Linked DNA regions of Stegostoma tigrinum. The protein of the gene in region 2 purifies or fractionates together with the protein of the main gene of each other region. This does not show direct contact. Links are inferred from orthologs where the notes say so. Each region holds a gene or a part of one and is shown on either strand. Other genes may lie near its edges.

Region 1 (7,795 bases), on a different chromosome or scaffold from region 2:
GCAAATTTAAACGATAATTTTATGTTATTCTTCACAATGGAGTACATTATAAACATTCCAGAGATACCAGTTATGTAAGGTGCTAATAGGAGAAAAGGTTTTGTGACAGCCTCTATCAGAAGGGACAAAGTATTTGACAAACTAATAGGACTGAAAACAGAAAGGTCGCCAGGTCCCGATGGCCTTCATTTAAGGGTTTTAACAGACGTGGTTGCAGAGACAAAAACAGAAGTTGCTGGAAAAGTTCAGCATGTCTGGAAGCATCTGTGAAGATAAGATCAGAGTTAATGTTTCAGGTCCAGTGGCCCTTCCTCAGACCCAAAACTTTAACTCTCACATTTTCTTTACAGATGCTGCCAGACATGCTGAGCTCTTCCAACAACTTCTGTTTTTGTTCCTGATTTACAGCATCTGCAGTTCTGGTGGTTGCAGAGATATGGCGGCAGCAGTCAAAATAGTCCATAACTCTGTGGATTCTATGAAGATTTTAGTGGATAAGAAAACTCTTAATGTGACTCCCTTGTTCAAGCAAAGGATAATCATAGAATCACCAGAATTCCCATGGTGTGGAAGCAGACCATTCAGCCCATTGAGTTCACAATGGCCCATGGAAGGCCATCCCACATAGAGCCACCCAGCTACCCTATTCCTACAACCCCACATTTCCCATGACTAATCCACAAGCCCCTGGACACTATGAACAATTTAGCATGGCCAATCCACCTAACGTGCACATCTCTGGACTACGGGAGAAAATCAGAATACCCAGAGGAAACCCAAGACATGGGGAATATGTGCAAACTACACACAGACAGTCGGTGATGGTAGAATCTAACCCAGGGACCTGATACTGAGGCAGCAGTGCAAACTACTGAGCCACTGTGTTGCCCAGGTGGAGGCAGAAAGCTGCAAACTATAGGCCAATTAGCCTAACGTCTGTCAAAGTGCTAGAGTCCGTTACAGAAGAAATAGCTGAACGTTTAGAAAAGCTTAATGCATTCAGAGTCCACATGGTTTTATGAAAGGGAAATCAAGTTTGACAAATCTGTTTAAGCTCTCTGAGGATTTGATAGAGGAAAATTTGATAAAGGATAGATCTAATGCAGCTGGATATTCAGAAGTCATTTGATAAAGTGCCACAAAAAAAGTTAGGGTAATGTATCAGCATGGATTGGGTAAAACACTGAAAACAAGTAAGTAAGTGGAGGACTACAAGGATCAGTCCTAGAGCTTTTATTATTTATAATCTATATTAATGACACAGAGAAATGGACAGGGTGTAATGAATCCAAATTTTCAATCAACATAAAAATATTACCACGAGGACATAAGAAATCAGCAAGGGGATAGAGATAAGGTAAGTGAGTGAGCAATAACTTGGCAGATTGTGTTTAGGAAGATGCAAGGTCACGACTCAAAAGACAGACTAATATTTAAATAAAAGGAGACTCCAAAATGTGGGGTCCATAAGAATCTGGATGATGTTGTGCATAAAATACAAAAGGCATGCAGGCACAAATTAGGGTGGTGGGTGGAATTTTGGCCTTTTACTGCTAGTGTTTGGTATTTAAGAATAAGAAAGTCTTGTTACCATCATAGAGAAATTTGGCAAGACCTCACCTGAAGTACTACTACAGTTTTCATAGAGAATCATACCATAGAATCCCTAGTGTGGAAACAGGCCCGTCGGCCCAACAAGTCCAAACCAATGCTAAGAGCATCCCACCCTGACCCATCCCCCTAATCTACACATCCCTGAACATAATGGGCAATTTAGCATGGCCAATCCACCTAGCCTGCATATCTTTGGATTGTGGGTTTCCTCCCACACAGACATGGGAGAATGCACAAACTCCACACAGACAGTTGCCTGAGGGTGGAATTGAACCTGGGTCCCTGGTGCTGTGAGGTGCTTCCCATAAGTGATCCACATAATTAAGAAAAAATTGGCATTGCAGGCGATTCAGAAGTGTTTCATTGGATTAATTGGACAAAAGGGTTAATTTTTCAAAATTAGCCAGATCGGGCCTTTATTCATTAAAGAGGAGTTAGGCAGACTTTTGAAATATCAGGGAGGTGAGGGCTATGGAGTTGAATGGTCTACTCCTATTTATTGTGCTTGAATCTCTCCACAGTCTCCTTTGTTACAAGAACAACTTCAGCTTCACTGACCCAAAACTGTACCTAGAGTCCCTGCAACAGTTCTAGAGGATCTCCTCTGCATCCTCTCAAGGACTTTAACATCATTCCTTGCCAGACTTTGCCAGAACTTTATAAAGTTTCAGCACATTCTTGCCCCGCTCCGCGCCACCCCTACACCCGAGACAGCAATTACAGGCCCCCTTAAGTATATCGCGAGGCTTTACACAGAAAGCCTACATAAAAAGATTTGAGACAGAGACGCTAAATATGTATCCCAGTCGGAGAAAAACAGGAACACCGTGCCTTGGGGTTGCAGCTGCAAGTTGGAGGCGTCCACGTTATCTGAGTGGGCCGACGGGTGAAAAGGGAGGCCTGTTTATTTTGGTATGAGGTGACAGGCCTGGGATTGGAGTTTCTGCAGTATCCCACTCGAAACGCCTGCTGCAACCCAGAGCCAGGCCTCCACCAAGGACTCTCTTCATCCCAGTCACCTCCTCACCGAATCTCCCACAGTTCTTCCCGACCCCGAGCTCATCCTGCGGGCTCTGGCACTCGGCTCCGGGGCTTGTTTCCCACCGGCAAGCAACCGCGGCCTTTGGATTACTCTGTCACGGAGGCGGTTGAGGCCTCAAACTGTACCGTGCTAAAGTATCGGACTAGCCGGACTCTGACATTGCTCCTTCCTCCCTCACCCCCGACCTAGTGATCGTCCAACCCTCCGACTCACCTCTCTCCGTTCTGAGTCCCTGGGGTGGAAGCTCCAGGGTCGGTCGCTCCTGTCAGTCAGTCGCCACACAGGCCACTCAGCGAATACAGCGCCTCGGCACTACACCGAGAGCAGCTGACGGAAACAACCGAGCGACTTCGGGACGGTACCGAGCCGCTGACGGGAACAACCGAGCGATCTCGGCGAAGATGGTAACGGAAATAGCCGAGCGACTTCGGCTCAACAAGGCTATCGGTGACGGAAATAGCCGGAACTCTACCCTCGCGGCGGGGTAAGCGGTGACGGAAAATCCCGAGGATGTTCCACGCTTCGCAAGGTGTTTCGTTTTTGGCATTACGTGCGTTCGCTGAGCCTCGGCAGCAGAACCGTTGAATTGTTACAACGTAAATGAAGGCCGTTTGGCCCATCGTGTCTGTTCTGGTCCGTGGAATAAGCAATTCACTTCATGCCCTGCCTCTTCCCCGTATTGAAGAGTTCTCCACACTGCATACGTTCTTAAGACCTTGAGCACTTGCTGTGTGAACTTTTTATCTCATGTCGCTTTGACTGTCAATCTCTTCGTAATTGGGGAAAAAAATCCTTCCAAACGACTCTGCTCAGGCCTCATGATTTTGAATGCTTGGATTAAACCCCCTCCCTGCTTTCTCCAAGGTGGTCTTTTTCAATACATTTTCATGATTAATTTCATCAAACCTTGAACCATTCTTGTGGACCTTTTCCATATTCCCTTCATTCCTTCCACAGCAGGGTGGCACGGTGGTTAGCACTGCTGCCTCACAGTGCCAGGGACCCAGGTTCAATTCCACCCTTGGGTGACTGTCTGTGTGGAGTTTACACATTCTCCCCTTGTCTGCATGGGTTTCCTCCCAGAGTCCAAGTTACGGGTTAGGTGGATTGGCTAAGCTAAATTGCCCATAGTGATCAGGGGTCTGTAGATTAGGTGGGTTATAAGGGGATGGGTCAGGGTGGGATGCTCTAAGGGTCAGTGTGGACTTGTTGGGCTAAAGGGCCAGTTTCCACGCTGCAGGGATTCTATCTTCCCTAAAGCACACAGAACTAGATGTCTTTTTTTTTAAAGTCATACAATTTACTATTATACTTTAGGTACAAAGTTTATTACAGAATGGAAATTGGCCCTGTAACCTTGTACAGCACAGATACAGACCAAGATAACGAAGTGTGGAGCTGGATGAACACAGCAGGCCCAACAGCATCTCAGGAGCACAAAAGCTGACGTTTCGGGCCTAGACCCATGGAAGGTCATATTGGGGCCTAGGATGGGGGTGAGGGAGGAGGTGTGGGGGCAAGTGTAGCACTTCCTGCGGTTGCAGGGGAAGGTGCCGGGTGTGGTGGGGTTGGAGGGCAGTGTGGAGCGAACAAGGGACCACTCTCTCCGTGACTCCCTTGTTCGCTCCACACTGCCCTCCAACCCCACCACACCCGGCACCTTCCCCTGCAACCGCAGGAAGTGCTACACTTGCCCCCACACCTCCTCCCTCACCCCCATTCCAGGCCCCAAGATGACTTTCCATATTAAGCAGAGGTTCACCTGCACATCCGCCAATGTGGTATACTGTATCCATTGTCCCCGGTATGGCTTCCTCTACATTGGGGAAACCAAGCGGAGGCTTGGGGACCGCTTTGCAGAACACCTCCGCTCGGTTCGCAATAAACAACTGCGCCTCCCAGTCGCGAACCATTTTTACTCCCCCTCCCATTCTTCAGATGACATGTCCATCATGGGCCTCCTGCAGTGCCACAAGGATGCCACCCGAAGGTTGCAGGAACAGCAACTCATATTCCGCTTGGGAACCTTGCAGCCCAATGGTATCAATGTGGACTTCACCAGCTTCAAAATCTCCCCTTCCCCCACCGCATCCCAAAACCAGCCCAGTTCGCCCCCTCTCCCCAGTGCATCCCAAAACCAGCCCAGCCTGTCTCTGCCTCCCTAACCTGTTCTTCCTCTCACCCATCCCTTCCACCCATCTCAAGCTCACCTCCATTTCCTACCTACTAACCTCATCCCACCTCCTTGACCTGTCCATCTTCCCTGGACTGACCTATTATCTCCCTACCTCCCCACCTATACTCTCCTCTCCACCTATCTTCTTTTCTCTCCATCTTCAGTCCGCCTCACCCTCTCTCCCTATTTATTCCAGAACCCTCTTTCCATCCCCCTCTCTGATGAAGGGTCTAGGCCCGAAACGTCAGCTTTTGTGCTCCTGAGATGCTGCTTGGCCTGCTGTGTTCATCCAGCCCCACACTTTGTTATCTTGGATTCTCCAGCACCTGCAGTTCCCATTATCTCTGATCCTAAATTATCTAGTCCCATTTGCCAACATTTGGGCCTTATCCCTCTAAATCCTTCCTGTTCATACACCCATCCATATGTCTTTTAAATGTTACAATTGTACCAGCCTTCACCACATCCTCTGGCAGCTCCTTCCATGCATGCACCACCGTCTGTTTGAAAATGTTGTCCCTTAGGTCCCTTTTAAATCTTTCCCCCCTCACCTTAAACCTATGCCAAATGGTTTTGGACTCCCCTACTCTGGGGAAAAGACCTTGGCTACTCACCCTGTCTATTCCCCTCATAACTTTATAAACTTCTATAAGGTCATTCCTCATCCTCTGACACTCCAGGGAAAATAGTCCCAGCCTATTCAGTCTCTTCTTGTAGGTAAAACCCTCCAACCTGACCATATGGCAGCTTGTCCTAGGAATTGTAGTTCAGGCTCTTTTACTGCTTTGATGAGGGGAATGGGATGGAAGTTTGGAAAGAGAAGCATTAATTTTAAGAAGAATTCTGGTTAAAGAGAGCAAGATTCAGCTTCCCTTGAATCTAGAGAGATTCACTAACACGGAGGAAGAAGTGAGACCCATTGAGTCTGGCTATTCTGTTTTTCTTACTTTAGATGCAGATTTGGAGACTTAAATCTACCAGACTGCACAGTTTCTGAAGGGTGAGAGGTAGAATGTGAGTTTGTACAATGGGTTATGCATTTTTTTAAAAACTTTTGATTTATGAGCACTCAGCTAGCCAAGATACACTGAATATGGGGCTTTTGGAGCCATAATTCCAAATAGGGCTGATATTACAGATGTGACATGAATTGGCAGTTTACCTTCCTTAGCTGTGTGGGAAATAGTGGAACATGTGATGTTAGCAAGTAGGAATTTCTGTATTTTGTGAGATACTTTTGGAAGTAAGTTTTAAGACCTCTGATCTGTTTGAGATTAAATAATCTTCTGATAAGGTTGTATTAGTGATGATGGGAACTGATGAAGGGTCTAGGCCCGAAACATCAGCTTTTGTGCTCCTGAGATGCTGCTGGGCCTGCTGTGTTCATCCAGCCTCACATTTTATTATTCCTGATAACGTTCTTGTTTTTTAAGAGTTTATTTACAAGACAGTTGGGTTAGTATATCTGGTGCTATTTGCATTAACCACTTCATGGGTGGCACTTTCTTGGTACTCCCTGAGTAAAAATATTTCTAATGAAAAGTTAAACAGTTAAAGGATGATTTGATCAAAATTGTTCAATTTATCAACACAGAGGATCATTTTGCCAGCCCTAGGAGTTGGAAGGTCATGGTACAGGACATTGCTTAGGCCAGTTTTGGAATACTGCATTCAATTCTGGTCTCCATGCTAATAGGAAGGATGTCCTGAAACTTGGAAGGGTTCAGAAAAGATTTACAAGCATGTTACCAGGGTTGGTGGGTTTGAGCTGAAGGGAGAGGCTGAATAGCCTGGGGTTATTTTCCCTGGAGCGTCAGAGGGTGAAGAGTGACCTTATTGGTGTTTATAAAATCATGAGGAGCATGGATAGGGTGAATAGTCAATGTCTTTTTCCCTAGGTAGCCGAGTCCAAAACTAGAGGGAATAGGGTTTAAGGTTAGATGGGAAAGATTTAAAAGGGACCTAAGAGGCAACTTTTTCAATCAGATGTTGGTGTATGTATGGAATGAGCTGCCAGAGGGGATGGTGGAGGCTGGTACAATTACAGCATTTTAAAGGCATCTGGATGGGTGTATGAATAGATAACATTTCAAGGAAAATTAGCCAAATGCTGGCAAATGGGACCAGATGAAGTGAGGATATCCAGTCGGCATGGACAACTTGGGCAGAAAGGTGCGTTTCCATGCTGTAAATCTCTATACCCTGACTCTAAATGAGAGACATTGTTAGACAAAGAGTCGCTGTTTCTACGGGTTGTGGACTCTAAGAATGCGAATGCATTGGAGGGCGTGCAAAGGAGATTCGCCAAGATGATTGATTGACGGATTTATTGTCACGTACCAAAATACAATGAAAAGCTTTGTTTATGAATGATCATAGTAAGCAAAGAATGTACAGATCAAAAAGACTTAGACAGAGGCACACATGTTAAATTGCACGGGGTGTGTGCTAGATGAGATCAATTTTAGCAGGATCAGTGTTATTTGAAACTAGAAAGTCCATTCATCAGTCTGATAATGACTGGGAAGAAGCTGTTCCTGAACCTGTTCGTGCATGTATTCAGGCTTCTGTATCTTCTGCCTGATGGAAGACGATGTTGAAGGAGATCATTATCGGGGTGTGATGGGTCTTTGACGATGTTGGCAGCCTCTCTGCAGCAGTGAGCTGTGTAAATGGAGCCCATGGATGGAATGGTGGCTTCCGTGATGGTCTGGGATATGCACACCACCTTCTGCAGTTTCTTACAGTCCTGGGCAGAGCAGTTGCCATACCGGGTCATTATACATCTGAACAGTACGCTTTCAAAGGTGCATCTGTAGATGTTGGTGAGGGATGATATGGACATGCCACATTTCCTGAGCTTCCTGAGGAAGAAGAGGTGTTGTTGTGCCTTCTTGACTGCTGCTTCTACATGGAAAGCCCAGGACAGGTAGTTGGTTATCATTCACTCCAAGGAATTTGAC
Region 2 (7,090 bases):
CACTACGCCCCACTACCCACTAAACCCCACTACGCCCCACTACCCACTAAACCCCACTACGCCCCACTACCCACTAAACCCCACTACGCCCCACTACCCACTAAACCCCACTACGCCCCACTACGCCCCACTACCCACTACGCCCCACTACCCACTACGCCCCACTACCCACTACGCCCCACTACCCACTACGCCCCACTAAACCCCACGCCCCACTAAACCCCACGCCCCACTAAACCCCACGCCCCACTAAACCCCACTACCCACTAAACCCCACTACCCACTAAACCCCACTACCCACTAAACCCCACTACACCCCACTACGCCCCACTGAGCCCCACTACCCACTAAACCCCACTGAGCCCCACTACGCACTAAACCGCACTACGCCCCACTACCCACTAAACCCCACTAAACCGCACTACGCCCCACTGAGCCCCACTACGCCCCACTACCCACTAAACCCCACTACGCCCCACTACCCACTAAACCCCACTACGCCCCACTACCCACTAAACCCCACTACGCCCCACTACCCACTAAACCCCACTACGCCCCACTACCCACTAAACCCCACTACGCCCCACTACCCACTAAACCCCACTACCCCCCACTACCCACTAAACCCCACTACCCCCCACTACGCCCCACTACACCCCACTACCCACTAAACCCCACTACACCCCACTACGCCCCACTACCCACTAAACCCCACTACCCACTAAACCCCACTACGCCCCACTGAACCCCACTACACCCCACTGCCCCACTGAACCCCACTGCCCCACTGAACCCCACTACGCCCCACTACTCACTAGACCCCACTACGCCCCACTACCCACTAAACCCCACTACCCACTAAACCCCACTACGCCCCACTACTCACTAGACCCCACTACGCCCCACTACCCACTAAACCCCACTACGCCCCACTACCCACTAAACCCCACTACCCACTAAACCCCACTACCCACTAAACCCCACTACCCACTAAACCCCACTACCCACTAAACCCCACTACGCCCCACTAAACCCCACTACACCCCACTACCCACTAAACCCCACTACGCCCCACTAAACCCCACTACGCCCCACTAAACCCCACTACACCCCACTACCCACTAAACCCCACTACCCACTAAACCCCACTACCCACTAAACCCCACTACACCCCACTACGCCCCACTACCCACTAAACCCCACTACGCCCCACTACCCACTAAACCCCACTACGCCCCACTACCCACTAAACCCCACTACGCCCCACTACCCACTAAACCCCACTACGCCCCACTACACCCCACTACGCCCCACTACCCACTACGCCCCACTACGCCCCACTACCCACTACGCCCCACTACGCCCCACTACCCACTACGCCCCACTACCCACTACGCCCCACTAAACCCCACGCCCCACTAAACCCCACTACCCACTAAACCCCACTACACCCCACTACGCCCCACTGAGCCCCACTACCCACTAAACCCCACTGAGCCCCACTACGCACTAAACCGCACTACGCCCCACTACCCACTAAACCCCACTGAGCCCCACTACGCACTAAACCGCACTACGCCCCACTGAGCCCCACTACCCACTAAACCCCACTACGCCCCACTACCCACTAAACCCCACTACGCCCCACTACCCACTAAACCCCACTACGCCCCACTACCCACTAAACCCCACTACGCCCCACTACCCACTAAACCCCACTACGCCCCACTACCCACTAAACCCCACTACGCCCCACTACCCACTAAACCCCACTACCCCCCACTACCCACTAAACCCCACTACCCCCCACTACCCACTAAACCCCACTACACCCCACTACGCCCCACTACACCCCACTACCCACTAAACCCCACTACACCCCACTACGCCCCACTACCCACTAAACCCCACTACCCACTAAACCCCACTACCCACTAAACCCCACTACACCCCACTGCCCCACTGAACCCCACTACGCCCCACTACTCACTAGACCCCACTACGCCCCACTACCCACTAAACCCCACTACCCACTAAACCCCACTACGCCCCACTGAACCCCACTACGCCCCACTACTCACTAGACCCCACTACGCCCCACTACCCACTAAACCCCACTACGCCCCACTACCCACTAAACCCCACTACCCACTAAACCCCACTACCCACTAAACCCCACTACGCCCCACTACCCACTAAACCCCACTACGCCCCACTAAACCCCACTACCCACTAAACCCCACTACGCCCCACTACCCACTAAACCCCACTACCCACTAAACCCCACTACCCACTAAACCCCACTACGCCCCACTAAACCCCACTACCCACTAAACCCCACTACCCACTAAACCCCACTAAGCCCCAGCCCCCCAACCTGCAGGCTCATCATAAAACATGGAGCGACGTGCAGAAGATCTCTCGTCCTCCTCCTTGTGACATGCAACAGCAGAACCAGCCATACCTGGCCTCTACCCCAGAGAGGGAGGGGGGATGGGGGAGGGGGGGAGAAGCTCACAGCAACAAAACACCGCATTGAAACAAACCAGGCGATAAGGGCGGTGATGTCTAACCTCGGGCTCGGCAGCCTGTAGGCCGTGCGTGGGATTTCAGTCGATGTGAGGAGCGAGGGGGAAAGACCCACCATCAAACGTGGCCCGACTTCCCGAGAATGGGGGCGGAAGGGGGTGGGGAGAGAATGCGTCACTTCCGGGTGCACCGCCATCAAACCCCGCGACTACATTTACCGTCAGGCAGCGCGCCGCAGGACCAAGCCGCCCGCGCAACGCTCGTCGATTCCGCGCACGACAGAGGTAGTCGGAAGCGCTCAGGCCGCCGCGTTAAATAGTTACCGATCGAATAGGATCGAGCGGTTTTCTTTTTTTTAAACAAAAGGGCTGGCTGTCAAAAATAATAGCCGCCGGTCGAGAGCGAAAAGGAAACGCGCAGAAGGACGAGCGGAGCCCAATCAACGGATCCGTCCGGCCCGGCGCCCTCTCTGATTGGTCTCGGCGGGGCGGGGAACACCACGTGACATGCTCTGACCCCGCCCATTCCACGCCCCGCCCACGTAAGTCTGACGTCGCAGTGCTTCCCGCCCCCACACTAGCCACGCCCCCTTCCCTTGCTGACGCCTAGCCTTAGCCCCGCCCCCGCCGTGCGGCCCACTCACAGAGGCTAACCACGGTTACCTTGTAGGTGTTACATCTCTAACTGTGTAAAACCGCGTGTATTTTCCCATCTGGGGGACGGGGGTGCAGGGCGTATGTTTGCTTTCTCTATGAGGGGAGGTGGGAGTGAAAGAAGTCCGTTAAGATGTACCGGTCAGGGGAGTAGTTGTTTCGTGTGTTACCGATCTGCCGGCTTTCATTATTATTGTGTGTCCCTCCGCCCTATCCCCAGGGTTTCTCCTCATTTCCTGCCCCTCCACGCACCCAGGCACGACCCACTTCCGGTCACCCCGCTCCCCGCAGGCACGACCCACTTCCGGTCACCCCCTCCCCGCAGGCACCACCCACTTCCGGTCACCCTTCCTCAACCCCGCCCCACCACGGCATGACCCACTTCCAGTCACACTTGCTCATCCGCCCCCCCCCCCACCACAGCATGACCCACTTCTGGTCACACTTCCTCAACACCCCCCCCCCACCACAGCATGACCCACTTCTGGTCACACTTCCTCAACACCCCCCCCCCCCACCATGGCATAACCCAGTTCCAGTCACACTTCCTCAACCCCCTCCCTCCCCACCATGGCATGACCCACTTCCGGTCACACTTCCTCAACCCCCCCACCACAGCATGACCCACTTCCGGTCACACTTCCTCAACACCCCCCCCCACCATGGCATGACCCACTTCCGGTCACACTTCCTCAACACCCCCCCCCCACCATGGCATGACCCACTTCCGGTCACACTTCCTCAACTCCCCCGCCACCATGGCATGACCCACTTCCAGTCACACTTCCTCAACCCCCTCCCTCCCCACCACAGCATGACCCACTTCCGGTCACACTTCCTCAACACCCCCCCCCACCATGGCATGAACCACTTCCGGTCACACTTCCTCAACCCCCCCCCACCACGGCATGACCCACTTCCGATCTTCCCTAACCCCCGCCCCGCCCCAGACATGACCGACTTCCAGTCACCCTTACCCACCAACCCCTCCGACCCAATACCTTCCCTTGTAACTGTAATAGATGCAACACCTGCCCACAAACCACTCCCACTGTGGCCCCAGACGGTCCTTCCAGGTGAGACAGAGCTTCACCTGTATCTCCCACAACCTAGTCTATGCATTCAGTGCTCTCGATGTGGCCTTCTCTCTGTTGGTGAGACCAAATGTACACTTGGTGACTGTTTCGCCAAGCACCTTAACCTGGCTCGTAACAGCCAACCTAACCTCCTGGTCATCACCCATTTCACCTCATCGTCACGCCCCCCACCCCCACCTCACATGCCCATCCTTGGTCTCTTCATGTGGGTGTCACTGCCTAGGGAGCATTTATTTCCCATCGCTGATAACAAAGTGTGGGGCTGGATGAACACAGCAGGCCAAGCAGCACCTCAGGAGCGCAAAAGCTGACGTTTCAGGCATAGACCGTTCTTCAGACCCTTTTTCTGCAGTTCCCATTATCTCTGTTTCCCATCCCTAATGGCCTGGAGGGCAGCTAAGAGTCAGCCACATTGCTGTGGGTCTGCAGTCTGGGCCATTTTCAGTGTTAAGTATGCCGCCTCGCTCCCTCCAAAACAATTGGCTGTGGGTCTGGTTTCCCCCTGTTCAGATCAGACTGTGTAAGGACAGCTGAGTGTGGGACTGACGAGCCTAACACCTTGGAACCAGTTCAGACAAGTTACCCTGGTTCTGATGGACTGCCTGAGTATTTGGGGGAAGCAGATGAAACAAAGCCGGGTCATCTGGCCATGTGAGGAGAATTTAGATTACAACGATGGAAGTTTGGTGAGAGAGGCCGGTTTGGGATGAGGAAAGTAAGGTGGGAAGGCAAGGAGAGTGCAATTCCAAAGCTAGAGTTTGCTGCCTGGGAATCTGAAGGCATGGCCCTGGTGTGGTACTGTGTGAGAATGACCAACAGATCAGGCTGAGAGGAGCATGTATTTGGAGGGTTGTGAGTCTGGGGGCAATTACAGAATGAGGGGAGGTGCCGCGGAGGCATTGGAAAACCAGGATTAATGATCTGATCATGCTCAACACGGCATCTCCCCCTTAGAGACAATCAGGTGGTGGTATGAAGGCACTTGCGCTGTTGAGGTTCATTTTGAGTGCCTGTGTCTGAAGGATTGGTCCATCTGTAATGCAGAAGTGACACCTGGGCTTTCCCCTTCTGTAAATAGATCACTCAAAAGGCTTTGGGATTTTTTCTGGTTTTATTTTGAAGATATTTCCTGGAAGTTATATAGTTGAAGCTGAAATAAAAACAGAAAGTGACTTTCCCAGGCACTTCCAGGTTTTGTTTCTTTGCTATTTGAGTGTTTTGCTGTTGCGTGGCTTTTAAATTTTTTTTATTCATTGAATGTGGGTGTCGCTGGCTCAGCCATATTTATAGTCCATCCCTAATTGCCTAGAGGTCAGTTTAGAGTCAACCACATTGCTGTGGGTCTGGAGTCACGTGTAGGCCAGACTAGGTAAGGCTGGCAGTTTCCTTCCCTAAACGGCATTAGTGAGCCAGATGGGTTTTTCCCAACAATTGACAATGGATTCACAGTCATCCCCCAATAAACACTCCTGGGACAGCTACAGCATGGGGTTAGATACAGAGTAAAGTTCTCTCTCTACGTTGTCCCTATCAGACACATTTATAGTGGAAGGGGGTGTCTCAAATTGGAGACCTGTAACCAGTGGTGTTCCACAGGGATCTGTGCTGGGACCACTGTTGTTTGTGATATATGTAAATGATTTGGAGGAAGGTGTAGGTGGTCTGATCAGCAAGTTTGCTGATGACACTAAGATTGGTGGAGTAGCTGATAGTGAACGGGACTGTCAGAAATTACAGCAGAATATAGATAGACTGGAGAGTTGGGCAGATAAATGGCAGATGGAGTTCAATCCGGGCAAATGCGAGGTGATGCATTTTGGAAGATCTAATTCAAGAGTGAACTATACAGTAAATGGAAAAGTCCTCGGGAAAATGGATGAACAGAGAGATCTGGGTGTTCAGGTCCATTGTTCCCTGAAGGTGACAATGCAAGTAAATAGGGTGGTCAGGAAGGCATATGGCATGCTTTCCTTCATTGGGCAGGGTATTGAGTACAAGAGTTGGCAGGTCATGTTGCAGTTGTATAGGACTTTGATTCGGCCACATTTGGAGTACTGTGTACAGTTCTGGTCGTCACATTACCAAAAGGATGTGGATGCTTTGGAGAGGGTGCAGAGGAGGTTCACCAGGATGTTGCCTGGTATGGAGGGTGCTAGCTATGAAGTGAGGTTGAGTAGATTAGGATTATTTTCATTAGAAAGACGGAGATTGAGTAGGGACCTGATTGAGGTCTACAAAATCATGAGGGGTATAGACAGGGTGGATAGCAAGAAGCTTTTTCCCAGAGTGGGGAACTCAATTACAAGGGGTCATGAGTTCAAAGTGAGAGGAGGAAAGTTTTTAAGGGAGATATGCGTGGAAAGTTCTTTACACAGAGGGTGGTGGGTGCCTGGTACACGTTGCCAGTGGAGGTGGTAGACGCAGACACGTTAGCGTCTTTTAAGATGTGTCTAGACAGATACATGAATGAGCAGGAAGTAGAGGGATACAGATCCTTGTAAAATAGCTGACAGGCTTAGAGGATCTGGATCAGTGCGTTTTGGAGGGGCCGAGGGGCCTGTTCCTGTGCTGTAATTTTCTTTGTTCTATTTGGCTAGCTGCTGGTATACCCTTCAGACTGCCAACTGTTAATTCCAGGTGTTTTATTGAATTCAAATTCCACCATCTGCTGTGGCGGGATTCGAACCTGGGTCCCCAGAACATTATCTGGGTCTCTAGGTTTAGAGTTCAGTGATAATGCCACTAGGGCGTCACCTTCCCTATAAGCGAAAGCACCTGGCTTTTTATGCATTTTAGTTTGGACAAAGCGAG
Region 3 (7,005 bases), on a different chromosome or scaffold from region 2:
ACCGGTTTGGCGAGCAAGTCTACAACCTCATCCTGCTGCATCCTTTAAGAACATCCCTCAATATCCACAAGTCAACTATTTTTGGGGCAGCACAGTTATTAATAAGACCATATGTATTTTCATCCAAATCATTTGGATATATCACACAGTGATCCTTGCAGAACACCACTAGCCACAGTCTAGTCAGGAAAAAACCCTCCAAGCTACCCTCTGTCTTCTATGACCAAGCTAATTTTGTATCCAGCTTCTCAACTTACCATGGATCTGGCATTACTTAATCTATGGATCTGTTTATTGTGAGGGGTCCTGTCCAATACTTTAGTAAAGTCTATATTGACAAAATCCACTGCTCTACCCTCAGTCACTTTTCAGTTTTTTGAGGAAGTCGTCAATCAACTTTGAGAGTCAAGACCTTCCCTACACAAACACACGCTGACTATCCCTATTAAGTCAATTCTTTGCTAAATGTGGGGTAAATCCTGTTCCTGAGTATGTTCTCTAATAATTCCCCTATCATGATAAGGCTTGTTACCCTATCATTTCCTGAATTATCCCTCTTGCTGTTCTTAGACAAAGGAACATTAACTATTCACCTGTGGCTAAAGGGGATAGAAAAGTCTCCATCAAGGCCCTAGCAATCTCCTTCCTTGTCTCCCTCATTATCCTGGCATAGATCTCATCAGGCCCTGGGGCCTTATGTATCTTAAATGTTTTTAAGGCGTCCAACATCACCTTAACATCAACCTGCCCCATAATACTAACAGATCCTCCCTAAACTTATCATCTATCCCTTCTCCTTGATGAACACCAATGCGAAGTACTCATTAAGGACATCACCCACTCCTAATTGAGGGCAGAGTGTTAATAAAATTTGAGAAACATCTCAGCATCTCCAAATACTGAACGTCCCTGTCATTGGCACTACCCTGTTGAAACCTCCTCACATCCTTCCTAAGTGCATCCATTGTTAGGAAAAACCTGCCAGGAGTGATGCAAAAGATGCACTGAGATCACAATTAATCCTTCAAACAAAGGTCGAACGGGAGAATAAAACCGGAGTGGAAATAAAAGATGCCTGCAACCTTAAAGTTTACCAGCGACGTAACTTAAATAGAGAATAGATGACAAACTACTGGTGTGTGAAGATTCTGCCTTATTTATATACCCATTCTTGATGTCTTTTCACCTGCATGTCAATCTTCCCTTTCTGTCTGTCTCTGTCTCTCTCATTACTGCCAATGTCCATCTCTTCTAAGTTCTTCCTATCCTGCTCCCAAACACAGATCTTTGACTTGCTTTGTCTCCTGTCCCTTTAGTTTTTCTGAATCACTGCATCAATTTCTCTTTTCACTATTTATCTGGTCTTCTGCTAATCTACCAGCAGACCTTCTTTCGTTAGTTTATAGTGTAAATCCCAAAGACTTTTAGTTGGACATTAAAAGCCCCAAGTCATCACAAAAAAGGATATCACCTAACACAAACGACTTTTAAAAACGGGTTAATTCATATCATGTTACTACTGTCAATTGGGTCTTGGAGCTAATACATGTTGTTTGTTTGTGTCAGATCGTATTTATATACCCATTTCTGCTTGCTTATGTGTATCTCAATAATCTTCCTCTTATGTGGCTTTTACTTCATCAACTCATTCATCAGTTTCTGTACATAGCCCCTTCCAGTTTTTACTTTCTCAGTGATATTCACATCTTCCTTCCCCATTTCTCCTCCTTCCATGATGACATATCACTACAAACAGTGGCTCAGTGGTTAGCACTGCTGCCTCACAGTGCCAGGGCCCTCAGTTGACAGTGTGGAGCTTACACATTCTCCCAGCGTCTGATTTGGTTTCCTCTGGCTTCCTCCTACAGACCAAAGGTATGCAGGCTAGGTGGATTGGCAATGCTAAATTGCCTCTAGTGTTCAGGGATATGTAGATTAGGTGGGTTACGAAGGATGGATCTGGTTGGGATGTTCTGAGGGGCAATGTGAACTTGTTGGGCTAAACTACCTGTTTCCACACTGTAGGGATTCTATACAAAATAAAATAGTAGGGCACATATCCCATCGCATCTACTACATCATTCAATATCATGAATATTCATCTGATTGCAGCGTTAAATAAACTTTCCTGCCTCCCTGCATAACCTTTAGTCAACCAAAAAGTTATCCTATTTGAGCCCTGAATATATTCAATGCCTCAGACTCCAATGCTGCCCTGGGAAAGTGAAGCTGATCCTCAGAAGTTCTTCCTCATCTAAGTCTTAAATAAAAGATCCTATATACTAAAACTGTGACCCCGAGTTTTCCCTCGCGAAAGGAAACGTCCTCTCAAACCTCACCAATATTACACACGACCAGCATCAGATCACCTCTCATTCTTTTAAACTCCATTAGGCCTAACCTTCCCTCACAAGACAGCCCCTTCATTTCAGAGGTCCATCCTCCGCCTCCACCCTTTTCTTCTTCTCCATTCTGTTCTCTTTTACCCCTCTCCTTTTCTCTCTCGGTTTCTTACCGTTTGAAGTCTGGATTTCTCTCGCTTTTCCAAAACAAGCTCACTTCCGCTTTTGCGCGCTGCGGGTTTACCGGCGCAGCGCGCGTCACTCATGGGCGAGGGGGCGGTCCTTCCGCGGACAACGACGACGACACAGAAAATAAAACAGGGAAACGAATGTCGCGACTCGCAGCGGCCTCTTTATCTCTCCACTCACATCAACCGCCTACTGCCTCTGCAAAATGGCGGAGACGCCGGTTCGGAACACACAGGGTTTTAAACTGCCCTCGGGCTTCCGGCCTCTCGAAACCCTAATTCTAAATCTCAATTGAGCGTCCAGGAACGCGGTACTGGAGCGGAGATAAGGTGCAGAAAGCATTTGGGGGCCGGACCGACGACATGGTCCCGGCCTGGGTCTACCTCCTCCGCCCGCCGCTTCTCACAAAATGGCGGACGCTCCACCGGTTCCAGAAGTGAAAGGTCCCCGGCGTGCAATCCGGAACCAATTCTCCGAGATCTCCAAGTTCCTATAGCAACGTCGTCGTTCCGGCCTTTTCAATACCCCAGCCATTACCACCATTTTAGATGAAGCGTTTTCACTTTCTTACAAAAACGGCTTCGAAATCAATCCAGAACTCTCGAACCTACAACACTTAAAAAAACTTCATCCTTTAAAATTTCCAAATTGCATTAAAACGCTTCTACTAAAATCATTTTGCTCGCGTTAGCCCTAACAGCATGCAAGGACGTGAGGTAGCCCTGGAAATTAATCGTGACGTTTACTTTCCTATTTTTAAACGATAATTTTGTTGAACATCGAATACCGCACAGGAGCAAGGATAGTGAGAACTGCAGATGCTGGAGAATACGAGATAACAAAGTGTGAGGCTGGATGAACACAGCAGGCCAAGCAGCATCTCAGGAGCACAAGAGCTGACGTTTCGGGCCTCGACCCTTGTTCAGAGAGAGGGCAGTGGGTCGAGGCCCGAAACGCCAGCTTTTGTGCTCCTGAGATGCTGCTTGGCCTGCTGTGTTCATCCAGCTCCACACTTTGTTATCACAGCACAGGAGCAGGTCCTCTGGCCCCATATGTCTGCGACCACGATGCCATCCTCAACTGAACCCACATGGTGCATAGATAATAAAATGTGAGGCTGGATGAACACAGCAGGCCAAGCAGCATCTCAGGAGCACAAAAGCTGACGTTTCGGGCCTAGACCCTTCATCAGAGAGTCTCTAGGCCCGAAACGTCAGCTTTTGTGCTCCTGAGATGCTGCTTGGCCTGCTGTGTTCATCCAGCCTCACATTTTATTATCTTGGATTGTCCAGCATCTGCAGTTTCCATTATCTCTCCCCACATGGTGCATATCTTTCTATTCCCTGATATAACAAGGTGTAGAGCTGGATGCCTCTATTTCCTGCCTATTCATGCGTCTAAATGCTTCTTAAACATAGCTATTGCACCTGCTTCTACCACCTCCCCTGGCAGCATGTTCCAGGCATCTACCACCCTCTGTGCAAAAAAACAACTTGCCTCCAATCTCCTTTAAAACTCCCCCACTCACCTTAAACCTATGCCCCCCCGTATCTGGCATTTCCACCCTGGAATAATGTTTTAACAAAGGACTGTAGCTCAGGTTGCAGTTGGAGTTGTTGGTTTGTTGTTTCTCGGAGCTGACTGGTTTTCGTGCAAACGTTTCATCTCCATTCTAGGTGACATCAGCAGTGCTGTGTAGCCTCCATTGAAGCGCTGTTGTTCTGCCCCGCTCTGAATTTACATGTTCTGGTTTGTCATAGTGGGCAGTCTTGTTTCCGGTTTTTGTCCAGAACGGGTCGGAAGGCAAAGCCAGAGTCTGTTTGAGTATATGACGGAGTAAACTTACTGGTGCAGAAAACACTGCAAAACTTAAAAAAAAACTAATTAATTTTAAATAATTAACTAACTAGAGAAGCAGGTCAGGTGATGCATTCTAGCTATATGATGTGGGAGCTAGCTGATCCCATTGAGAACAGCAGTGACCACATCAGCAGGTGTTGGCTGCTTGAGGAACCTCAGCTCAAAATTGATGAGGTGGAATCCGAACTCCAAACACTGCAGCACATCTGGGAGGGAGAGAAATACCTGGATTCTGAGTTCCAGAAGGCAGTCACACCTGGTAGATTAACTAATGTTAATTCAATTGGCAGGCAGGGACAGCAGTGTGTGACTGTGAGTGAGGCAGGTAGAGGGTCCCTGCAGACAGGAACACAGGAGCCAGGGCCTTGACATTGTCCCACCGGTATGAGGCACTTGCTTCCTGCATGGATGAGGAGCAGGGCTGCAGGAAGGATGAGTCAATTGACCATGGTACCATGGCCCAGGAGGCCATTCAAGAGGGAGGGAGCTAAAGGATAGACTGTAGTTGTAGGGGATTCCATCAAGAGGATAGACAGTATCCTTTGTGAGCAGGATAGAGAATCCCGCATGGTGTGTTGCCTGCCCAGTGCCAGAGTGCGAGACACCTCTGACAGGCTTGAGAGGATACCAGAGAGGGAGGGGGAGGATCCAGTTGTTATGGTCCACGGAGGTACCAACAACATAGGTAGAACTAGGAAAAAAGACCTGTTTGTGGATTATGAAAAGCTAGGAAAAAGATTTCTAAAAAAAGGTCTTCGAGGGTCATAATCTCTGGATTGCTGCCTGAGCAACATGCAAATTGGCATAGGGAGGCAAGGAGAGGATCAGGGAAGTAAACTTGGGGCTGAAAGAGTGGTGCGGGAAAGAGGGTTTCCTTAACATGGGGCACTGGCGTCAGTTCTGGGACAGGAGGGATCGATACCGATGGGATGGACTCCACTTGAACAGGGCCAGGTGCAGTGTTCTGGTGAAAGGGGTACATAGGGTGGTCAATAGGACTTTAAACTAGTAAGTCGGGGGGAAGGGAGAAGTGAGCGTAGAAGGAGAATAACAATGTAAGGCAAAGCAGCAGGCTGGCAGGTGACAAGAGCGCTTCAGCTCCATTGAAAATTAGAGAAAAAAAGTTAAAAGGAAGGAGAACTCAAGAGCTGTTAGTAATGGAGGTAACAGGACCCAAAAAGAAGGTGCAAAAACTGTCACAAGGGCACTTTATCTGAATGCTCGGAGCATTCGAAATAAGGTGGATGAGTTGATGGCGCACATCATGGCAAATGTGTATGATTTAGTGGCCATTACAGAGACATGGTTACAGGATGATCATGACTGGAGTTAAATATCCAGGGGTATCAAACTGTTTGGAAAGACAAACTGGAACACAAGGGAGGTGGTGTTGCTCTGATTTTTAAGGATGATATCAGGGCAGTAGTGCGAGATGATATAGGTTCTACTGAATAAAACATACAAATCCATTTGGGTAGAAATTAGGAATAGCAGGGAGACGTCACTGTTCGGTGTGGTCTATAGGCCACCAAATAATGGCATCGTGGTGGGGCAGGCAGAAAAATAGCTAATGCATGTAAAACTGGTATAGCAATTATCATGAGGGATTTTAATCTACATATCGATTGCTCAAACCAGGTAAGTCATGGCAGTAAATTGAGGAGGGGTTCGTAAAATGCGTTCACGATAATTTCCTTGAACAATATTTAATGGAACCTACGAGGGCCCAAGCCATCCTAGATCTAGTCCTGTGAAATGAGATAGGGATAATTAATGATCTCAACAGTTAGGGATCCTCTCAGAAGGAGCGATCACAGTACGGTCGAATTTAAAATACAGATGGAGCGTGAGAAGGTTAAATCCAGTATTTATGTCCTGTGCTTAAACAAAGAAGACTACGAAAGAATGAGGGAGGAGGGATATGAGGGATATGAATGGGAGCAAAAACTTTATGGTGGTTCAATTGAGGAACAGTGAGGGAATTTCAAAACGATTTTTCACAGTGCTCAGCAGAAGTATATTCCAGTGATAAGGAAGAACTGTAAGAAAAGAGAGAGCCAGCCATGGATGTCTAAGGAAATAAAGGAGAGTACCAGATTGAAAAAAAAACAAAAAAGCAAAGACTAGTGGGAAATTAGTAGACTGGGAAGTCTTTAAAGGCCAACAGAAAGCCACAAAAAAAGTTAGAAAGAAAAGAAAGACATATTATGAGAGTAAACTAGCTCAGAATATAAAAACAGGCAGCAAAAGTTCTGCGATTTACATATTTATATAAAGAGTGGCAAAGGTAAACATTGGTCCTTTAGAGGATAAGAAGGCTAATTTAATAACTGGGAATGAGGAAATAGCTGAGACATTAAACAGTTATTTCATGTCGGTCTTCACATTAGAAGACACAAATAACATGCTGAAAACTAATGGCAAGAAGGTTATAGCTGGTGAGGACCTAGGAAATATCATTATCACTAAGGAGGCAGGGCTGGGCAAGCTATTGGGAATAAAGGCAGCCAAGTCTCCTAGCCTTGATGAAATGCATCCCAGAGTACTAAAGGAGGTGATAGGGGAAATAACAAATGGACGAGTAATTATTTACTAAAATTCACTGGACTTTGGG
Region 4 (6,870 bases), on a different chromosome or scaffold from region 2:
ACCATTTGGTGCCTGTTAAAATGAGTGTTTGTCCCTCCGTCTCCTCTCCCCATCCAAGTGAGAACAGGATGCAATCAGATGTGCAGCATACACAGGGCAGTCCCAAACTGTGTGCAATAACTTGTAGGCACCCAGCCACTGTTCTCCATATTAAAGGCTGTGGCTTTTAAAGACTGATGGCTCCCAATTACATTATATTTTGGTAGAAAATCCTAACAGGCCTGCTCTTAGTGGAAGAACAAGACATTATTCAACATCTGAATTATTGCAGTCATTATTCTGACACAAATGTTAATTTAGAAAGTTGATTATTCAATCTCTCCTCAGATTGCTCAAACCAGTGATAAAATGCAGACTGATAAAGGAAGTTGATGCGATTGCACGAATGGACAACTGGTGCTTGCAATCTGGCAGTGGCTATTGCTCTGCTTCACTGCACCCTGTACTTTGGGAGCAATTTTTACTGCATCATTAGATGTACATTCAGAATCCCTCATATGTAACGACTCTAACAAAAATACACATTCACAAGTATGCAAATAATCCAGCGTGAAAATAAAGAACAACTCCAACCTTTGTCTTGGCAGACCGGGCTGGTGAAAACAATGATAGACCAACCGCTTGCCCTAACTGGAATCTACAATCAAGCCAGTCAAGCAAGATCCTATGATTCACTGAGAAGTTACAGCACCGAAACAGGTCATTGTCAACATTTCCATACGGGTGTTTGTGCTTCACATTAGCCTCATTTAACCTCAACTGCCTGTTCTTCTATTCCTTTGTCCTTCATACACTCAGCTAAAGGCATCTACAATATTAACCAAAAATCCTTGCCAATTATAAGTGTCAAGACAGGGATTAGACAACTTGGCTCAAAATAATTGTTGTTGGGCTAGCTTAACAAAACAGAGCTCGGGAGCATTTGATTAAACAAACATTAAACAAAACTACTGGATATCAAATTAAAGCAGGAGTGTTACAAACAACATGTCAGTCAACAAGTGGAAAAATACACATTTCCCAAAACTTGGACACAAGGCAGAAAGCAGCTCTGATGAAATATCTCACCAAAAGTACTAAGCTAACTTTTCTTTTGAAGATACTGAAGGTAATAAAAAGTCATTCTAGTATTGTCTGATCAGGGACTTCACAAAAAGTCAACAATAATAAAAAAAGCTTGAAGGCAGATTTAGATCAAAACTTAAGTGCAACTTTGAAAGCTTTATTTTATTCCACTTCTGTAAAGAGCTTCAAAATTTATAGATTCAAACTCTATGATTCAAAGTCCATATTGAAACAAGACAGTTAAACAACTGAAAATAAAAATTGGATCTCTTCAAGTAACCACTTAAGTATTCAAAATACCACACAGTTGCAACATCCATGCCAAAACCAAATTCTACCTGACAAAAAAAATCATTGAAACAAACACAAAACCGTGTGTGAAACATTTGCTTCAGCAGTTTTTTTTTTAAACAACAGATTGGTTTACCGAAGGCCACAAATAAACATATGACATAGCTTTTCTGATGAAGGGTCTAGGCCCAAAATGTCAGCTTTTGTGCTCCTAAGATGCTGCTTGGTCTGCTGTGTTCATCCAGCTCTACACTTTTGTTATCTCAGATTCTCCAGCATCTGCAGTTCTCATTATCTTTGATATCACATGGTGCTGTGTGGCACACAGGCCAAACAAATTTCAGATTTTAATGCAAACAAACTTAATTTTCTGTTACCCATTATATCCTACTAAAAAGCTGTACATATAGTACTTCAACATCAAACCATGTCACAATTCCCCTGGGTTGTGACCTGCTTCCTCCTCTGAAAATAGTATAAATATTACTGTTCATACACAGAACTACATCACACACAAAATTAACTGATTGCTAATTATAAATATTTTGTTCTTCATCTCATAAAGGACATAAACCTACCTTACAGTCACAATAAATATTAGTGATGACAAATTAAACTTAGAAACAATCCTGTTATTGACAGTACAATCAAAAATTTAAACTGGACCTGAGAAGCACTTCTGTACTTTCTTTGAGGTTCAACTCTGACTCTAAAACCCAAACTGTTCTTTGTAAAGTATTTTAAAAAGTTTTTTTTCATAGGGTAGACACTTCAAAGTATAAAATGAGAAAAATGTTCAAAGCAAAAAAAATTTTTAAAAAAACACAAGAACATGTTGAATGTCAAGCTTTGACAGACTAATTTGAAGTATGCACTAGAATAATCACGGGCAACACCAAACTAAAACTGATACCTTCCATCGTCAAACCTTGGCTGTGGTGTTAAAATTAGTATATAAGGCAAATGCAGACAGAAATCACCCTCCAAACACCTTTCTCCTCCTCTATACGGTACACTGCAGGGTTCTCAATCAATCAACAGACATTCAATTGCTGTTGAGAATCCGACATCGCTCCCCGGCAACCACCAGCTGGATACCTAAATTTTACTACGCCTTGAAAAATGCAAAAAATATTGTAAGATTTATCTAATGATCAGTTACGATTCAAACTTCTGCAACACCCCCCCCCCCCCTTTCCTATTCTGTAAATTCTGTTGAGGAGTTGTTGATGTTGTTGGGAAGGCGGGGGGATCACTCTCAAACATCTAAACGTCAGCAGCTCGAAAGGCGCTCACCAGGCCAGGTCTTCATCACGACTTTTTTTAAAAGAAAACGGTCGCGAATGGAGAGAAGATTGCGGGGAGGAGTCGGGGGGAGTGAATTAAAATTAAAGAGGATAGACATTTTTTACACTTCCAAATATTGGCGAATAATTTCGGAAAAGAGCTTACCGAAGCTTTTCTGTAAGGTGCTGGCCGCCTCGCATTATTTCCACAAGGCCTTATTCAGATATTTCTGGGAGGATTTTAAGCCTCTTGTTTACAGAAACCCCCAAACGACGAAGCTTCGCTGCTCAGCCCGGGGTTGCTCAATGCATCGGACGGGGCAGCTCCACCTTCACGACACGGCCCGCATCTGCTTTGCGGCCTCCCTTCCTTTCCACGACACAGCCCGCATCTGCTTTGCGGCTTCCTTTCCTTTCCACGACACAGACCGCCCTTTACTTTCCGGCGCTTGACGGCTGCATCGCGCACGCTTTACGGCACCGGCTTTGTTTGCCGTTCCCAAAACGTCAATGGTACGAAAAGGAGCACGTTTGCCTCTAAGTTTGTCGCCTGTGGGATGGTGAAATCGGACCCGCCTGCACCGCTGGTTTATCGCCAGGGGTCTTCCGACTTCCCACAACACGATTTTAGGAAAATAGGGAAATTCCGGCGCATGCGTAATTTTTCCAGTTTCTACCATAACAAATGCCCTGCCTTTGTATAGCGCCTACTAATAATGCTCTTAAAAATCCTGGGTGTTTGGTGCGAACATAAACGATATAAAGATTACAAAGATAATAGGGACCGCCGATGCTGGAGAGTCTGAGATAACACGGTGTAAAGCTGGATGAACACAGGAGGTCAAAGCAGCAGGAAAGTTTGACGTTCGGGACCTCGATTATAAAGATTAAGCGGCCCAAGGAGATTTTGGTTGTTGATTCCGAAGAAAGATCACTGGACACGAAACGTAACGTTTCCTTTCGCTCCGCAGATGCTACCAGACCTGTTGAGTTTTTTCAACTTATGTTTTTTGGTTGTTGAGCATTGATTACAATTAAAGAAAGGTTGAGGAAGTCATTTTTAAATCGTTTCAACGTTTCGATTAAGTCATTGAAGTGTTTTTTTCCCTCATTCGTGACCATCCACGACACCACTAAATGTTGGAAATACTCAACATTTTTAAGAGGGCAAGCAAGGAGGCAACACAGAGAAATTTGACGCATCGTGTTTCTCAAATTATCTTCAGAATCGTTTAATTGAAAATGGTTTGTGAAACATTTATAGTTAAGAAGCCTGGTGCTCAAAGTGCCTTTCGTGCTTTCATTTAGTGATAATCTGCGTTCCCGCTCTAACTCCACAACACGCTATTCCCGCCGCAAAGCAGGCTACCACCGCGCTCCAGCAGCCATCCGGGTCCTTGGCCATCCGGGCATGTGGGGTGGGGGTGGGACAATGCCATCCGTGCTCCCGTCACGGTTGGAATCCCTGACGGATGAGGGCTGGGCTAGGTATCCGGGGCGGACTTCGGCTGAGTCTCCTTCCCGGGGGGGTGGTGGAGCTTGGTCATCCGGGCTCCTGTTGGGGGTGGAGCTACGCCGCTCGAGCTGCTGCTTGCTCCGTGAAGACGCCTGAAATGGCTGCCGCTCCTAGTCCGAATGAAGCTCGGCGCATCACAGACTTGCGTGTCGTAGATCTTAAATCCGAACTCAAGCGGCGGAATCTCGACATTAGTGGCGTTAAAACCGTTCTGATCGCCAGGTTAAAACAGGTGTGAGAAATCACCAAAGTCAAGGAGAGGGAAGGAAGTCGGCGCTGGGGTTTACCGCCGTCACCTTTAGGCCTCGGATGAAGCCTAACCCACTTTGCTCTGCGCAAATTTTAATGGCTGCTTCGGCGCTCACTGGGTTAAATGTCTTGCTGACCGGTGACAAATAAATCTTTGCGAATTAAATATTCACTGCATGGTAAAAGTGCTTGAGATCTTGATTAAAAGATCCTTTGCCTTTTGTTGGTTTTCAGTATGATTAAACGTGCGAAAAGACTGCTTTTTAATCCAATGAACGTTTAATTGACGCCTTTTAGTTGTTGATAGCTTTTACTTTTTTAAAGAAACACAACCAAAAGCTACCCACTTTCTGATTCTCATGATCTGTGAAGTTGAATGAATAAACACTTGAAGTGGTATGCTTTATTTCATAACTTTTGTTGAAAATTTATAACCTGGAGCCGTTAAATAAATTAATCTTCTTCTTTGACTACCAAATAGTATTTTGTTCATTCATTGGGGTGCTTTTTATTGGGTAAGCAAAGATAAATAAAATTCACGTTGGTTGGTTTCCAAGTCGGACATTTGCACTGGATTTGTTACATAGTTAACGCGCAGAATTTTATTTTGGGTGTTTTAAGAAAATCACAGGGTTGAAGCCCAATATTTACCTTTAAGACTAACCAGTTGCAGTGAAAACCTTTTAGTTGACGCTATTTGATTGTAAAGTATAAGCATTTATAACATGTCATGTCCATTTTCAGAAATATGCAACTTTTCCTCATTTAGTTTCAATTCTTAATATTATTTTTCAACGAGTTGATTGAGTTTTTGGGAAAAGAAAACTTGCATTTGTTGCTACCAAAACAGGTAATAGAAGAGGAGGGAGGCGATCCTGATAACGTGCAGCTCTTTTCGGATACGCCTTCAAAGAAAACACCTAAAAGCAAAGGTATCCCACCTTTCTTAATTTGTTGTGTATGATTTTGTAACAAAGGGTTAACTTTATTAATATACTTTCTGTTTTTAACCAAAATGTAAATACTGAACTTGGTGATGGAGAAATAATGAAACAACCTGAAGGTCCCAAACATCTGCCCTTTTTAGTTGATGTCAATTATGGATTTGAGAGGTGCTGCTGAAAACTTGAATGACCTGACAAAGGAGTTAGATATTTAGGTTGTTGGGTGAAATGCAAATTTTGTAGGCTACTTAACCTTAGATGGTGTTGAGTGGCATCTGTGACATTTCTGTCAAGTTGGGAGTGTTGCATTGTGCTCTAATCATTTGATTTTAGGGAGCGCAAAGACTTTAACAATTCATTAGGTGAGCTATTCTGCCTGGACTATTGAAATTCTGATCTGCCTTGCGGCTTATTAACGGTGATTGTCTTTTCTAGAGATGTTAATGGTCAGAGTCGAAGACAATGTTATCGAGGAGATTAGGGAGATACAGGCTATTAGACTAGATGGGATTGAGGTTCACAAGGAGATGGTGTTAGTAATTCTGGAAGGTTTAAAAATTGATAAGTCCCCTGGGCCGGATGGGATGTATCCTAGGATTCTCTGGGAAGCTAGGGAGGGGATTGCATTAGAAGATTAGGCTTTATTGGTAGAGGGATTGAATTTTGGAGCCATGAGGTCATGTTGCAGCTGTACAAAACTCTGGTGTGGCCGCACTTGGAGTATTGCGTACAATTCTGGTCGCTGTATTATAGGAAGGATGTGGAAGCATTGGAAAGGATGCAGGGAAGATTTACCAGGATGTTGCCTGGTACGGAGGGAAGGTCTTATGAGGAACGGCTGAGGGACTTGATGTTTGGGACTTGATGTTTTCGATACAGAGAAGAAGTTTAAGAGGTGACCAAATAGAGACATACAAGATGATCAGAGGATTAGATAGGATGGATGGTGAGAGCCTTTTTCCCTGGATGGCTAGTATGAGGGGGCATAGCTTTAAATTGAGGGGTGATAGATTTCGGACAGATGTCAGAGGTAGGTTCTTTACTCAGACAGAAGTAAGGGTGTGGAATGCCCTGCCTGCAACAGTAGTAGACTCGCCAAGGACGTTTAAATGGTCATTGGATAAACATATGGAGGATAATGGAATAGTGTCGGTTAGATGGGCTTCAGTTTGGTTTAAACAATAGTAGGCCATTCGGCCCTTCAAACCAGCACCACCATTCATTATGATCATGGCTGATCATCCACAATCAGTATCCTGTTCCTGCCTTATCCCCATAACCCTTGATTCCAATATCTTTAAGATCTCTATCTATCTCTTTCTTGAAACTACCCAGAGACTTGGCCTCCACTACCTTCTGGGGCAGAGCATTCCATATATAGGTCAGTGCAACATTGAGGGCTGAAGGGCCTGTACTGTGCTTTAGTGTTCTGTGTTCTCGAGTCTTCATGATATGGCCACTCAATGCATACTCTTGTTGGCTTGTGTACTTAGCTTAAGTCTGCATGTTCTGCAGTTTG

What was found.
Region 1: the proteins of csnk2b (region 2) and phrf1 purify together in Homo sapiens (affinity purification with mass spectrometry; 3 studies listed by BioGRID and IntAct, with this or other methods). This does not show direct contact. The link is inferred for Stegostoma tigrinum from reciprocal best matches to the Homo sapiens genes CSNK2B and PHRF1.
Region 3: the proteins of csnk2b (region 2) and ark2n purify together in Homo sapiens (co-immunoprecipitation; 3 studies listed by BioGRID and IntAct, with this or other methods). This does not show direct contact. The link is inferred for Stegostoma tigrinum from reciprocal best matches to the Homo sapiens genes CSNK2B and ARK2N.
Region 4: the proteins of csnk2b (region 2) and rnf111 purify together in Homo sapiens (co-immunoprecipitation; 3 studies listed by BioGRID and IntAct, with this or other methods). This does not show direct contact. The link is inferred for Stegostoma tigrinum from reciprocal best matches to the Homo sapiens genes CSNK2B and RNF111.

Annotation. Positions count from the first base shown.
Region 1 is NC_081370.1:35,569,744-35,577,538, forward strand, and holds the start of phrf1 (PHD and RING finger domain-containing protein 1), read right to left. Parts: upstream 3,006-7,795; 5' UTR 2,870-3,005; intron 1-2,869.
Region 2 is NC_081387.1:27,161,776-27,168,865, reverse strand, and holds the start of csnk2b (casein kinase II subunit beta), read right to left. Parts: upstream 3,024-7,090; 5' UTR 2,853-3,023; exon of another isoform or gene 2,738-2,852; intron 2,707-2,737; exon of another isoform or gene 2,574-2,706; intron 1-2,573. UniProt on the Homo sapiens protein: Regulatory subunit of casein kinase II/CK2.
Region 3 is NC_081354.1:162,137,665-162,144,669, forward strand, and holds the start of ark2n (uncharacterized protein C18orf25 homolog), read right to left. Parts: upstream 3,018-7,005; 5' UTR 2,516-3,017; intron 1-2,515. UniProt on the Homo sapiens protein: AMPK substrate important for exercise capacity and skeletal muscle function.
Region 4 is NC_081386.1:17,461,183-17,468,052, reverse strand, and holds the start of rnf111 (E3 ubiquitin-protein ligase Arkadia), read right to left. Parts: upstream 3,013-6,870; 5' UTR 2,809-3,012; intron 1-2,808. Other genes in the region: sltm (SAFB-like transcription modulator), read left to right, coding at 4,115-4,390, 5,258-5,339. UniProt on the Homo sapiens protein: E3 ubiquitin-protein ligase. Required for mesoderm patterning during embryonic development. Acts as an enhancer of the transcriptional responses of the SMAD2/SMAD3 effectors, which are activated downstream of BMP.